Linked DNA regions of Diceros bicornis minor. The protein of the gene in region 2 purifies or fractionates together with the protein of the main gene of each other region. This does not show direct contact. Links are inferred from orthologs where the notes say so. Each region holds a gene or a part of one and is shown on either strand. Other genes may lie near its edges.

Region 1 (7,744 bases), on a different chromosome or scaffold from region 2:
AGGCACTTACTCTTCAATTATCTAGACTTTGTGCCATCTTTCACATTTAATAATTTCTCACAAGTCATTGTATAAATACCATTCTTAAACAATTATGAAGTGAACAATCATCTACCATATCTGAAACGTTATCTGATTCTTTATTTTTTTTATTGTTTGGTGAACTTTTGCTAACAATTTTAACCATACTACATTTACTAACACTGAAAAGACACCATAAAAGAATACTTTGCCTCAAAAAAATCTTAAGAAATATGTAATAAAATCAAAAGTATGAATCAAAACAGGAAATAAATAGAAACACGTGCTACTAGGAGGAGGAGCTAAATTTCTCTTGGAGAAACTGTTAGTGGTCATCTCAATACTCAGTTGCTTCTGTCAGTGTATACAGAAATGCCCTGAGTTAGAACTAGCAAGAAAAACTAATGCTAGAAAAAATGGCCACAAGTTAAATCAGGATACAAATAAGAATGAAAAAGAGGCTGAATTCATAAAAGAAAAGGACAGTAAAAGAAGAGAATGGGAATGTTGGCAGCCGCCAGTAATTTGAGAGCTGAACAGGGTATGAAGGGAAAAAAAGCTTGATATATGAATAATGAAAAATAGTTAGGTTTCTGATGCTTATATCCGGAAATTTCTGGCAGAAAAAAGTCTTTATGGTTTTAAAATACACAAGCTAAGATGATGAAGACTAAATCAGAACACCATAAAGAGTATCACGGTTATCCTTTGAAGTAGAATGATAATCCTAATTCAACAATATTGAACTGCAAAAATTATGCTTTGTCCTACACAGAATTTTAAACAAAGATGAAGAACATAACTATTCATAATAAATTACCAACATGAGGAAAATGTATGACAGGCTAAATAAACCTAGATACAAAATTATGAACAAATTTCAACTAATACATGTATGATGATAACGAATAAATACTAGGAGAAAAAAATGAATAAAAGTTTAAAGAACTGCGATAGAATGTAGAATGGCAGGTAATTTTTGTGTCTTTTTATAAGTGTATTGGTGTTATATATTATTATAATTTTAAAAAGGAAATAAATTCAGTTATGAGTTGACTATAAAAAGATTTAGGAAATGTAAAATTAGAAGGCATTCAAAAGAAAATATGAATGATGAGAAAACTATAAAAATATAACTTAAAATTTTTATTGATTAAAGGTGTTAGAAACAATGCTGATTTATTTAAAACAATTAATCCATTCAAAAAGTTGTTTTATATGTACAAAAATTCATACAATTAATACTTTATAAAGAAAAGTGATCCCAAGTTCTTTTCTTCCCCAAAATGTTTAAAAGTAATCAAAATATATTAAGTTGTTCTTCCTCAGCAATAAAAATCAATAACAAAATTCCCAGGAAGGCAAGAAAGAAATTAGAACTCTCCAAATTTTGCATTTGAATGACATCTTTCCCAGGGGGCCTCAGAACTCAAATCTCAGAACCAAAGACAGGAGCAGCTGCCCAGTGCCAACTGCCAGGGAAAAGGCAAAGAGCAATCGTCACCACAGAGACCAAGGTAACTATACCAGTAACAGGCAAACGTGAACCTGAAATCGGGAAACTGGTAGCAATAATAACCTGCATTTCTGAAGACTCTGGTTGGGGAAAATGGAGTGGAGAAGAAAGGAGACAAACTTGAGCAATATTCCCAGAAGGAGTGTTAGCACCTTTGACAGAAACGACAGGTGTGAAGACACCCCGGGCAGAGGCTCTTCGCTTTGTTTGGGGTGTGTGTCACAGACTCCTTTGAGATCCTATAGACCCTCTCCAAAGAGCAAGTACCAGGCAATGTTTATTTCATTTCAGGAGCTCCACAACCCTGGGTTAAAAACCCCTGCCTAGGAGATAAGGAGACTGGCTGCCGGATATTCTCATGCACGCACTCCCTCCCTCTCATTCAACCAACCATCACCGAAGTCTAGACTTTAAGGCAAGGATCCCCTCTATCAAGCTAGCAGCTCTACCCTCAGCATCCAGCCCATAACAGGAGCTCAACAGATATTTGTTGAATGAATGCTTGTGCTGACAGGTGCTGTGCTGGGAACAGACAAGAACAGGTACGATGCTGTAAAACAGCAACCAACGTTTATTGAGTGCACACCATGTTCTGAAAGCTTTACGTGGATTTTCACATTTAATGTGTATTTGCACACTTAACCCTTTGAGGCGACCCCCATCAATACCTATCTTACAGATGAAGCACAAATAGGTTGGCAATTTGCCCTCCAGTCACTCGACAAGTAAGTGATGGAGCCCCAATTCTCACCCGGGGAATCTGATTCCAGAGCCAAGCTCTTGGGAGCTCCCAGTACAGTGGAGGCATCCGAAACGGTGAAGGGGGGAAAGGAGCCAAGTGTGACCTGGACTAAAGTAAAAAGAGGTAAGATGCCTTGGCAGATCCTTGCCAGTCCTCAGAGACGAGAAGCTGGAAAGCTTCCCAGGGAGGTGATGCTGACCCGAGTCATGAAGGAGAAGTAGGAGTTCGCGATCCAAGCAGGGAGTCGAGGAGTGACTGTTTTTTTTTGTTTTGTTTTGTTTTGTTTTAAGAGGAGCTGGACAGCTCTCGTCGGCCTTCACCAAGCGCCTGCTTCGTGTCCGGCCCCAGGCCAAGACCAGGCGGGCCCGGGCCCAGAGGTCCCGGGACTCGGGGTAATGAGGCGGCGGCAGGGAAGAGGCTGAGGGCGCCGGGGCCGCGCCGGGGTTCCTGCAGGCCTGGGACGGCTAGCCCGCTCGAGGACTGACCTTCCCGGAGGTGCCGTCCCCCAGCACGACGATTTTCAGTTGCCGGTCCTGGCTCTCCTCCTCAGAGTCCGACATGGTGTCCCGGGAAGCGGGCCCGCCTCCCCCTCCCCCCGAGGTAGAGGAAGAAAGGGAAGGAGGGGGGTCTCCGGGGGCGGAGGAGAGGAGGAAGGGCGGCAGTGGGGGCAGGACCCCCCGCCCCGGTGTCTCAGCGGCCACTGAAGGTACCAGGAGAGAATCACTCGCCCGGCGCCATCTTGCCCACCTCCCCGCCCCCTGCGCGCTGCGTTGGGCGCGCCCCCCGCCTTGGCGCCAACCCGCGCCGACCGCGAGTCTCCCCGTGGAGCCGGCCCATTCGTGGGCCTGGGATGGGGGAGGCGTTCGAGCCGAGCAGGCGAAGCGCCGCGCTACCCTCGCAGGGGCAGTTGGCGAAAGGAAAGCTGGAAGTGTATCCTTCAAACTAGGTGGAAAAATCGGAGCAGACGTTCTATCAAATTCCCTTGTTTCCCTCTCGCCCTGCGAAGGTCCCTGAGGCGAATGGTTTAGCCCGATGCGGATTGAGGGAGGAATGACGCCTGGGCTACGCGCCGCGGTTGCCATGGAAGCCGGGAGTTGGAGGAGAGGCGCGGGGGCCCGTTTCCTGGCTCCCCAGACGCTGGTTGCTGGTTGCCAGGCGTAGCGCGCAGGGAAGGGGTCCCTGGAGCTGGCGTGGGCGCCGGGGGTCGCGCTCAGGGAGGAGCGGCGGCGCGGCTGAGGGTGGCGGTTGCTAAGGACCGCGCTGCCAGGTGGGGAAGCTGTAGAGGCCGCCGTGAGTGGGGTGGAACTGTGGCGCTGCCTCTTATTTTAGCCTCTCTGGAGTTTCCTCGTATGAGACACAGAATCCCTTGATTCATTCATCAACCGCATACCCTGGAGCAGTAGTTCTCAAAGTGTGGTCCGGGGAACCCTCGGTGGTCCTGGTGAAGTCAAAACTATTTTCATAATACAAAGACCTTTTTTTTCTTTTCCTTTTTTTTTTTTTTTTGTCTTTTCCACGTTCATTTTCTCACAAGTACACAGAAACGTTTTCCAGAGGATGCATGATGTGTATGACATCATCACTCTGGCAGCTGAGGGAGCATGTGCCTTTTATTCTGTTTCAAACATTTCTCAGTATTAATTTCAGTGCAGTAATGATCGCTATAACTCACATAAACCAAAGCTCTTTGGGGTCCACAATAATTCTTTTTTTTTTTCTGTGAGGAAGATCGGCCCTGAGCTGACATCTGCCAATCCTCCTCTTTTTGCTGAGGAAGACTGGCCCTGAGCTAACATCCATGCCCATCTTCCTCTACTTTATATGTGACACCGCCACAGCATGGCCTGACGAACCGTGTGTCCGTGCGCACCTGGGATCCGGACTGGCAAACCGCAGGCCGCTGCAGCACAGCGCACGCACTTAACTGCTTGTGCCACCAGGCCAGCCCCCTACAATGATTCTTAAGAGTGTAGAGGGGCCCCTGAGTTCAAAACGTTTGAGAACTGCTGTCGTGGATGATCTCAGTCCAGTAGGGTGGGTAAAAGACATAACTGAAAATTTCAATATAGTGAGACAAATTCTACAGTAATAATGCCAGCCTACTATGTTTGTCTCATTGTTAATTACTGTACATGGATGATCAGTTCACTCCTTATGGGAACCCCATAACATGGGTAGAATTATCCCCGTTTACAGATGAGAAAGCTTAAGTCACAAAAGCTTAGCTCAGAGGCAGTAGTCCACGGGAAATGGAAAGCAGTACAGTGTAAAGAAGTGCCCAGCCCCGGAGATAGCACTGGAGTTCTAATCACAGGTCTGCACTTACTTGATGTGTGACCTCATGCCACAGTTTCCTCATCTATAAAATAGAGGTACTACTTCCTTCATAGGGTTGAGAATTAAGTAATCAATGTAAAGTAACATAGAACAATACTTGACATATAGTAAGCTCAGTATGAACCAGTGTAATTATCACGCTCATCGTCATTATTAAATATGGTCCATGTTGGAGCATCACTGCTTTCTAGCCATGTTACCTTAGACAAGTTTCTTATGTAGAGCCTCAGACTCTTCATCTGTAAATAGGACTGGTTCACAATAGTACCTACTCAGGTAGTATTAGCTCCCAGTTTTCTCTCCCTACTACTGACAACAACAACTTTCTACATAACTGGCTGAGTTAATGAGAATTAGAAGAAAAAGAATATGTGAAAGGGCTTTGCAAAGTTCTTTGTAACTGTTATTTTGAAGAATCCCTTTCTAATGAGGACAGACTTAACCCCTTCTTGTCCACGAGGGGAGTTAATATGGCAGAAATTTGCTTTTCCACTCTTCCTGAATGGAGATGGTTATATGACCCAGTTCTGACCAATGAGACAGAAGAGGATGTCCTTTGAGAGACATCTGGGAAAGATTTTCCTCTTTGATTAAAAAAAAAAGAAAGAAAGAAAAAGATAGATGCAGAAGGAAAGATCTCCCCCTCCCTTCCTTTGCTGTCCATATTTGGATAAGGGCATAATATTTGGAACTGCTACAACCTTCTTCAGCCCACCATCCAGGCTTCTTGTTATGGGAAATAATGCTAAGGCATTTTAGTGATATATTTCATTACTTGCACCAAAACATATTCCATTATTTGCACAAACACATCCCACTGGCACAACTACTTTGGCCAAAAACTAGATTTAGCTAAGGTCATAGGACAGATTTTCATGTATGTTTTCATATGAAGGGAAATCTAGAAGAAAACTTTGCAGTTTCCAATCATCATGCTTTGATGGAGAGACACTATTTATTTGGATCTTGATTCGTTCCTAGGATAGTGTTGCTATATGAAACAAAAAGTCAATTGTGTTATTTCAGTGACCATATTTTATACACCTATGGAAAGATTCCAGGTTGAAAATTAGATTTGAAGAGTTGGAGCCATATTTATAAATTAAAAAGAAAAAAATATTCTTATTGTATGGAGGACCATGCACTAAATGCTTCTATTTACTATTCTAAACAGAAGTACAGCTGATCCACAGAAAAGAAAAATGTCTCTGTGGAGCCTCTGTAAAATGTCCACAACAGGCTGATAAACTAGAGGAATCTTTTTCAGTGGCCTTAAAACTAGTAAATTAACAAAATGCTTAGAGAAGAATTCTAGAAATTTCAAGAAAATAGGGTTCTTTAGATATGAAGTAAAAGTTGTTACACAAGATAAACCTGACTGCTATCTATAAAACCACCTTCCCACCTAATTTTAAAACACCTTTTCTAGCATTCCTAACAGATGATAATCCAAACTTTATTGGAATAGATCCAGATTCAAAAAGCTTATTCTCTCATGAAGCAAGCTGGACTCTGGACAGATAGGCCTGGTTATTAGAATATTCTTCCTGAGATAAACTGAAGTCTTTGACTATAAATTCCAACTAATGGTATTCTGTATGTCTTCTGGAGTAAAACAGAACTTCCTCGTTCTAAAGGAATGTCTTCAAATTGATTCATTATAAATAATGATTGATTTGACAAATATTAAGTGAATGCCTACTGTGTGCCAGGCATTCTTGCTCAAAAATCTTCTAAACAATGAGGACGAACAAGTGACCAAAACACACAAGGGCTCTGCTCCCATGGAACTTGCAATTTGGAGAGGTGTAATAGATGAAATAATGACCACTCCAAAGATATCAGGTCCCAATCCCTGGAAGCTGTAAATGTCACCTTATTTGCAAAAAGCATCTTTCAGCTGTGATTAAATTAAGGATTTTGAGGTGGAGAGATTATCCTGGATTATCAAGGTGGGCCCTAAATGCAATCACATCTTATAAGAGAGAGGCAGAGGAAGATTTGACCCAGACAGAAAAAGAGAAAGCAGTGTGACCACAGAGGCAGAGGCTGGAGTGATGCAGCCACAAGCCAAGGGATGCTGGCAGTCACCGAAAGCTGGAAGAGGCAAGGAACAAATTCTCCCCCTGTAGCCTCCAAGAGAATGCAGCCCTGTCAACACCTTGACTTCAGTCCAGTGAATGCTGATTTAGGACTTCTGGCATCCAAAACTGTGAGAGAATAAATTTATGTTGTTTTAAGCCACCATGTTTGTGGTTATGTTACAACGGCCACAGGAAACTAATACAAGGAGAAGAGTAGAAATTTCATGTCAACAGGAAAATTTCAGATTCAGGTAAAAAAAGATAGTAAAACAGCTGATGGATAGGATAAAGAGTAAAAGCATCTGAACATTTTTATTCATCACTAATGAAGGTGAGAAAATAGTAAGTGAATCAGAGAGTAAACTGATTTCAGAAACCACCAATCTCTGCCATCTTCTTAACAAATCCAATAGTCACCCATCATTTTCCCTTCATCTTTTTGCAATATTTCATAATTCTGAAGATGCAGAGCTTAGGACTGATGTCCAAGTGAACATGGAAAGAAAAACATAAAATATTGTGGAGTAAGGCAAAATAATGGCCATGCTCCCAGCTTGTGCACTTGTTATTACTGTATTTCTGCTGAAAAATCTGAGAAAAATATGTAAATGATCCCCAGAATTTAGTGGTGTATTAAGCTCCTAAAGGACAAAAAATCAGTAAATAAGTCTCTATCCCTGAAATTTTCTTCTCCCTTGGTTATAGGTATATATCCATATAAACACACGTGTGTGGTGTGTGTGTGTGCATGCAACCACCACCTAGATCAAGATATACAATTCAGAATCTCAGCAGGCTCCCTTGTGCCATCTTTCAGGCATCACCTCCTCAAAGGTAACTACTATTCTGACCTCTAGCACTATAAATTAGTATTACCTGTTTTTGAGCTTCATATAAATAGGCTTCATACAGTACGTACTCTTTGGTATCTGGCTCCTTTCACTAAATATTATGTCTATGAGAGTCATCCATGTTGTTATGTGTAGCAATAGCTTTCATTGCTGCATATTATTCCACTGTATGAATTAACCACAACTTGGTTAT
Region 2 (7,638 bases):
CCAATCAGACAAAAACTTCTGAAATTGCTCAATTCTCCATAGTCCCTGGTTTACTGTCCACAGCATACATGTTAAGTAACAATATAAATTACTTAAGGGAAAAATAAAATCCATGTCACAGCTTTTCTCACACTTCAGCCATCCCTATTTGCTTATAGACCCATTATGAAGAGAAACACAGAAAGGTACAGGGAGCTATAAAAGAGGCTGTCACTAAACTTCACTGCATAAAAGTACTAAAAGTTTACCATGAACGGCAGTACACAAAGGTGATAGTCTTCCTTTAAAAAAAAAAAAAAAGCATAGCAGGTCAGCTTCCATTTGAAAAATTTCATTTGTACGTCCCAAACTTCCTGGAACTTTTTTGCCTGTTGTGTTCTAAAACTGACTACAACTTGGTGTCTGATTATGACAAAGCAATGAAAATGTGCAGGGGTGAAATGGGCATTGTGAACACACACAGGAGCTCAGAGAACAGTGCTTTACTAAACCTCCAGGGGAGGAGCCCTAAAGTGACGACTACATTTTCATTGAGAGAGGAACTGAAGAATGTTCCATATTGTAGGCAGAGCATGTAAGAAGAGATTAAGGTCGGCAAGAAAATGTAAAATTGGAATGTATAAGATTACATTTTTTTCATCCTCATCATACCGTTACAGATTAACACTCCATTAAAACACAAAGCTTCCTCACTACATTAAGAGGGTTGCACAAGAGGCACCACACAGGCCTGAGGCAATGATTTCTATATGCTACTATATCCTACCATGTCCCCAATGTAATCAAATAATTGCTGGACAGCTCCCCCATGTCTATGCGTTAACCACACATGTGAGCACGCCAAGATCCCTTTGCCAGGAGTCCCAGGGCAAAACCAAGACACCTCAAGGCATCTCAGCCACAAGTTTAGGGTCCTCATTTGGTGGAAAGAAAACTGAGGATCTGAGGGGAGAAGAAGTGACCGTCCAATGCCTCAAAAGGCCAAGGCAGAGTTAGATCTCGGACTTCTCTCTCCCCACCTTGCTCTGCTCCAGCCCTGGAAGGAGCCACAAGTGAGGAAGAGAAGTTGCAGAAACACGGCGGGGGTGGGGTGGGGGGTGGTATGGGATGCGGGCACCCGAGAGAGTTTAACACAAGCATTTGCACTTGTCCCACACAAGGTCATTCGCTCCAAGTCACTTTTCCCTGCTCCCGCCGGGGGCTTCCCGCCCAAGAGGCTGCTGGGCTTCGAGGCCAGCCCACCGCGCCCCCTCGGCCCTTCCCCGTGGGCCGCAGCCCCTTCCCGGCTTCTGGGTGCGGGCCGGAGTTCGGACGCCAGCTGGCCTCCCTGCCACCCGTTTCCCACGCCCGGCGCCTCTCCCCGACCGATTCTGGGGCTCCTCCGCCTGCACCCCCCGGCGCTCCCGTCAACGACCCCTTCCTCCCTCAGGACGCCCCTTTCCCCACCTCCAGAGCCGGTCCCGCCGGGGGCCCGGGACGCCGCTCCTGCCATCTCCTCCCGCCGCCCTCTCCTCGGGCGCCCACCTGGCGCGGCCCCCGCCCCCGGCCTGTCTCCTCAGCCAGCGGCCGCCTCCCAAGTCCTCCCGGCCCCGCCCCGCTCCCAGGCGGATACAGTTTGAAGCCCCTCAGGATCTCCCTGGCCCGGTCGTCCTTGGCTGACATGATGCGGCGACCGCCGCCCGCGGCTCTCCCACGCTGGCCCGGAGGAGCCTCGTAGACGGTGACCAGGAGCCGAGGACTGAGCTGCAGCCGGGCCTGGAGACCTCCGGCGAGCAGCGGCAGCGGCCAGACCCGGACCGGCCTCTCTCTCCCCTCAGCTCCCGCTCCTGATTCCTTCTCCTTCCCTCTAGCCTCGGAGCGCCCGCCCCGAAGCCAATGGAAAGCCCGCCTCGGCGATTGGCATCCTGATCAGCCAATGGAAACACTCAGCGGCTTCAAGGGGGGACGATGAGCGTCAATGGGAAGGGCCCTCCCGGGGAAGTCCCGTAGGACAAATTTTTTTTTTTTTTTTTTCATTCGGTGCTGTTGCCTAGAGTTTTCCCCAGTGGAGGATTTTAGATCTGCAGAGGCTCGAGGGGCCTGCTCCCGCTGCTGGGCACACAAGGGCTCTGAGATGACAGCGGGTTGCACCGTGAGATGTGGCGGAGACTACATTTCCCAGAATCCCAGGGGACCACAGATCCCAGCAAGCAACAAAGAGGCCCAGGGACTACAAATCCCAGCATTCCCTGCACTCTATTCCTCTGTAACTTGGACTCCAGTGTGCCGCGCAGTGTGCGCAAATTCATAAACCGTGCCTCAGGTTTGGTAGTTTCTGAATCCGGAGACTTGAAACCAGGCGGCAAGACCCTCTTCACCCTCAAAAGAAGATGACAGCCCACAGAGAGGTAACTTTTGTTTACATGGAACTCAGAAATCTCCTGCAAATCATGGTAAGGCTGCAAACAACAAACAGAAACACTGATTAAACCATGAGAGATAATAAGATAAAATGACTCCTTCAAACCTTGCTTGTTTGTTGGTCTGGAGCGCCTTTTACGTTTTTTGCAGGGGTTTCTGGTGTGCTCCTGCGTTGGACCGGGAGAGATATCGATAGTGTACTCAGAATATCAGTATAGGAAGGGACTTTAGAGAATTTGCTAATCCAACCCCTGTTGTTTTACATATGAGGAAACTGAGACCCAGAGAGGCAAGGAGATTGTCCACGGGTCACAGCAAGTTGGGGCAGAGTTAGAATTCGGCCCTAAGTTTCCTGACACTCTCTGGGCTCTTTGCACCACACTAGGGTGGCGATATTTTTAGCAGCATGGCTATGTGGTTATTCTTCTCCCTGGTGAAGTTTCCCCATCGGGGTTGAAACACCCAGAGGTTAGGTAAGCATTTATTTGGTGGATTTCCTCCAAATGAAGGAGTGTGATGTTTATCTTCAGTCTAGGTAGGACTTGGTGTTTTGCTTTGTTCTTTGTTTGTTTGTTGCTCAACGTGACATTTAACGTGATTTCAGGAACTGGGTAAAATTGTAGTGTAAGCTCAAGTTTCCTGGAAGATCTCCTGTCTGTTTTCCTAGGCTTTCCTTCCTCTTCCTGTCCCTCTCTCACCCATCTGGGCACTCACCCAATTTTTCCTTCCATGTAATTCCACAAACAGCTTTTTCAGCTTTTGTTATTTGCCAGGCTTTCTATAAAAGCTGAAAGGCATGGTCATTGCCACCAGGAAGATAACCATCTAGTTAGTGAAATAAGGAGACTCCACTGAGATTCAAGGTGGACTGTGATAAATGGCATAAAAGAAAGGACGTCAGAATGCTATAGAGGCTCTGATGGAGAGATGTATTCCATTTATTGATGGAGGAGGTCGCATTTGAACTTGAAGGATGCACAGGATTTTTTTTCTATGTTAAAAAATTTTATCTTTACATTTTTTTGTGTGTGTGTGAGGAAGACTAGCCCTGAGCTAACATCCCGATGCCAATCCTCCTCTTTTTTGCTGAGGAAGATAGGCCCTGGGCTACCATCCATGCCCATTTTCCTCTGCTTTATATGGGATACTGCCACAGCATGGCTTGACAAGTGGTGCGTCGTTGTGCACCCCAGATCCGAACCTGCGAACCCCGGGCCACCAAAGCGGAGTGCATGCACTTAACCGCTGTGCCACCGGGCCAGCCCCATCTTTATATTTTTTTGTTAATAAGGTATAACACATACAGTAAGGGCACAATTTTTGCATATGTATACACCTGTGTCACCACCCCCCAAATCAAGATATAGAATATTTCCAGCACCCCTTGTGCCCCTTTCCAATCAGTACTTCATCGTCCCATCCCAGTAACCATTCTTCTGACTTCTGTTACCATACATCAGTTTTGTCTGTTCTTGAATTTCATTTAAATGTAATCATACAATATGTACAGTATGTCTGGCTTTTTTCATTCATCAATATTTTTGTGAAATTCATCCATGTTGTATGTAGCAGTAGCTTGTTTTTCTTTAAATTCGTGAGTAGTATTCCATTGTCTGTATATAGCACTGTTGATCTATTCTACTGTTGATGGGCATTTAGGTAATCAGTTATCAATTTTTGGCTTTTATTAATAAAGCTGCAATGAGCTTCTTATATGTTCCTTCTTGTGGACTCATTTCTAGGAGAGGAGTTGCTGGCTTGTACGGTGTGCATATGATCAGCAATAGTAGATATTGCCAGTTTTCCAAAATGTTTGTACCAATTTTCACCTCCACCAGCAGTGTAAGAGAGTTCTGGTTGACTCTTATCTTTGTCAATACTGGGTGTTGTCAGTCTTTTTAATTTTAGCCATTTTGGCTAAATGTGGTATCTCATTATAGTTTTTATTTACATTGTCTGGTGTTGAGCACCTTTCCATATGCTTATATGAACATCCTCTTCTGTGAAGTGCTTGTTCAAGTCTTTTGCCCACTTTTTAAATTGCGCTGTTTGTCTTCTTACTGATTTGTAGTTCTTTGTATAGTCTGGATATGGAGTTCTTTGTCTGATACATGATTTGCAAATATCTTTTCCAAGTCTGTGGCTTATCTTTTCAGTCTCGTACTGGTGTCTTTTGATAAACAGAAATCCTTAATTTTAATGTAGTGCAATAGTTCAGTGTTTTATGATTAGTGCTTTTTGCATCGAGTTTAAGAAACCTTTGGGTACAGGGTTGGTTGGATTTTAACAGGCAAATATGAGGGAAGAGCACTGCAGAAAAGAAGAGGGAGCAAACTTGACCCATAGACCCTGGGGTCAGAGAGGGAACGTGTAAGTTGTGTTGGGCATGGGGAGGCCTGGAGTTTGGGCCGTAAAGAGGGTGAAGCGAGACAAAGCTGGAAGGGTAGGAGGGAGGCATACTGAGAAGGGCTTTAACTGCAGCCTTGGAGTCTGGACATTATTCTGGAGAAAGTGGAGGCTCTGCTGGAATATTTATGAACTCAAACAGAACTTAGTTGTCTTCCTTCCACCATCAACTTTGCCCCTTCTCCTCCGCAGCCCTGTTCACTTAACACCACCTCCAGACAGCCTGGCCACCCCAGCCAGATTCCTTGGTGATATCCTCCTTCCCTATTCCTGCATTCAACTGGTCACCAAGTCTGATAGATTCTACAGTCTAAATGTCTCCAACAGTGTCCCTGCTTTTTCATGCCCAACTGCCACTACCTTTGTTCAAGAACTCACAATCTCTTATCTGGAATATATCATTCACCTCACGGGGTTCCCTGCCTCTACTTCTCTCCACACCCAATCCATTCCTATAGCAGCTAGTGTGGTTATTCTAAAATGGCAATTATTCTTACCTCTCCACAGCTTAAAAACCCTAAATTGTTCCCTAGTGCCCTTAAGATGAAATAAAAACTCCTTTACGTGGCTTAGGCCATTTATGATTTGCTTGCTCATTCTTCCGGGCTCAACTCAAGCCTCATCTCCTCCAGAAGTCTGCCTTAAATCATCTCTCCCCAGGGCACAGTCAGGAGAGCCTTGTCTGTACCCCTAGGGTGCCTGTGGCTACTGTCTGTCATAACTGGACAGGTCTGTCTCTTCCAGGGGGCTGTGAGCTCTCCCAGGTGGGAACTTCACTGTATTTAGGTTTTTACTGGGTATAGTGCCTTGCATGTGGTTTCCAAGACCCTTGATGACCTGACTCCAGCTCTGTAGCCCTCATTTCTCACCCCTGAACCCTGGGTTCCAGCCACTCTGAGTTTCTATTCAGCATCAGTATATGCTGCACAGCGCAAGCCTCTGTGATTGTGGTCACTGTCCCCCTTTTCTTCCCCTTTTCGCCTGAAAGATGCCTGTTTTCTCTTCCCCAATATTCTCTTCTGTGTTTCCAAAGCGTTGTCATATCTCTCTCATAGCACTTAACACATTGAAGCTTTTTGAGGGCAAGAACCTTGTCTTCTCTTCATATAAACTTGTAGAACATAACAGGTGCTAGAGAAATTTTTTGAATAAATGAGTGGGTTGATCCTAGGCTCCTTTGCATCTGTCTGTCTGATTTCTGCACTCTAATGCACAAAAGGCAAATAAGGTTCTTTTCCTCTCTTCAAGACCTGAAAGTCTGTGGTGCATACTTTAGAGAAATCAGCTTAAGCGTTCAGATATGTAGCATTTCTCAGCCACCTTCCAGGGGAGTCGGTACTTACCAAATGCAACGCCACGAATGTCATTTTTGTCACAGAACCATTGTTGGCTCAACCCATCTCTTGCTTATTATAAAACACTTTCTAAATAGAGGGAAGAACATGGTCTTTGGCTTCAGAGGGCCTGGGTTCCACATCGGACTTTGCCACTTACTGCCTTTTGGATCTTTAGGTTTAGTTAACTCGCCTGAAAAATGGGAATAATATTTTAGGCCATAGACATTATGAGAATTCGACGAGAATACGTACAGCACCTGTCGCATGGAAAAACGCTCAATAAACGGTAGTTGTTAGTAGACTTAATATGTCCCTGGACCCCAGGGTAGCGGCAGTCGCCATAGGGACCTCCTAGAGGTAAAGCTCGGCCAAAGGAGTGGATTTCAGGCCCAGGATGCCGATGGTTTGGGCCCCAGCACTGCCTAGGCTGCATCGTCTCCTCGGCCCCTCCCCACCGAGCTCCTGGATTATACGCCGTGCTCGGACCCTCTATGCCCGGTCCCGGCCTCACTGGAGGCCTGAGTCTGCGAACGCGGTGGGGGAACCTAGTGTGGGCGGAACTCGAGTGCAGCGGAGGGAGGCTTCCGGGGGAGCCGCAAGGGCAACGGGTCGGCGGAGGCAGAAAAGCGTCGGACGCCGGGCCGATCATGGACGCTTGACAACCTGCGGGCAGGCGCCGGGAGGCTGAGCCAGCGACCCAGAGGACGGAGAGGCGCTGAGGACAGGTAGGGGCCGGCCAGCGGGCGGGGCCCGGCGCGCCAGCCTCCTTCGGGCCGTCCGGCTGCGCGCCTGCCGCCGGGAAAGCCCGCGGCCACACCGCCCCGCCCCCGCCCGGGGGAGCGCGCCCCGCGGTCCTCACCCCGCCCCCGCGGCCCTGCTGGGAGCACGCCGCCCGCCCTGGAGTCCACCCCAGCTGGCGACCCTCAGCTCCCGCACCGCGGCTGCTCTCTCTTCCCGACCCCCGAGGGCTGCCTCTTTGCTACTCTGCCGTTTATCAGAATAGCGCCCTCCCCAGGACGGGACTCCATCTCCTCTGTGGCCCTAGCCTTCTCGGGCCCTCCCACTCCAGAAGAAAGCGACTATCAGCGCCTCTTTACTTTTGCCCTCACGGGCTTTGCTCCATAGACCGAGATTATTTTGACGGACCGAAGTTTCTGTCCATTTGTCTACTCCCTCCCCACCCCCAGGCCCTTGCATTTAGTCTCTTCACACGTGTCCACTTGGAAGAGAGGTTTTCGGTCCTCCTCTACTAACCATCACCTCCCCTCCTTTTCCCTTTCACCGTCTCCCCTTCTCTCTCCTCTTTCCCCTTCCCTCCTCAGCAACCTTGATGCCCTAGCCCTTCACTTTTCCTGATTCCGATAAGACCGTCTTAGGTAACCCTCAGTGAGGCGACGTACTTGTTTCTCTAATACTGTAAAAGGGCTGCTGGGCTGTGTGTCTGCCTCCACTGGAAAACTTAGTCTTGCACCAAACTATCCTTCTTTGAATTGTT

The links.
Region 1: the proteins of PDE6D (region 2) and RAB28 purify together in Homo sapiens (affinity purification with mass spectrometry; 3 studies listed by BioGRID and IntAct, with this or other methods). This does not show direct contact. The link is inferred for Diceros bicornis minor from reciprocal best matches to the Homo sapiens genes PDE6D and RAB28.

Annotation. Positions count from the first base shown.
Region 1 is NC_080747.1:10,318,363-10,326,106, forward strand, and holds the start of RAB28 (ras-related protein Rab-28), read right to left. Parts: upstream 3,008-7,744; 5' UTR 2,840-3,007; coding exon 2,765-2,839; intron 2,623-2,764; exon of another isoform or gene 2,488-2,622; coding exon of another isoform or gene 2,479-2,487; intron 1-2,478.
Region 2 is NC_080776.1:20,151,135-20,158,772, forward strand, and holds the start of PDE6D (retinal rod rhodopsin-sensitive cGMP 3',5'-cyclic phosphodiesterase subunit delta), read right to left. Parts: upstream 3,103-7,638; coding exon 3,099-3,102; intron 2,388-3,098; exon of another isoform or gene 2,261-2,387; intron 1,905-2,260; coding exon 1,613-1,904; intron 1-1,612. UniProt on the Homo sapiens protein: Promotes the release of prenylated target proteins from cellular membranes. Modulates the activity of prenylated or palmitoylated Ras family members by regulating their subcellular location.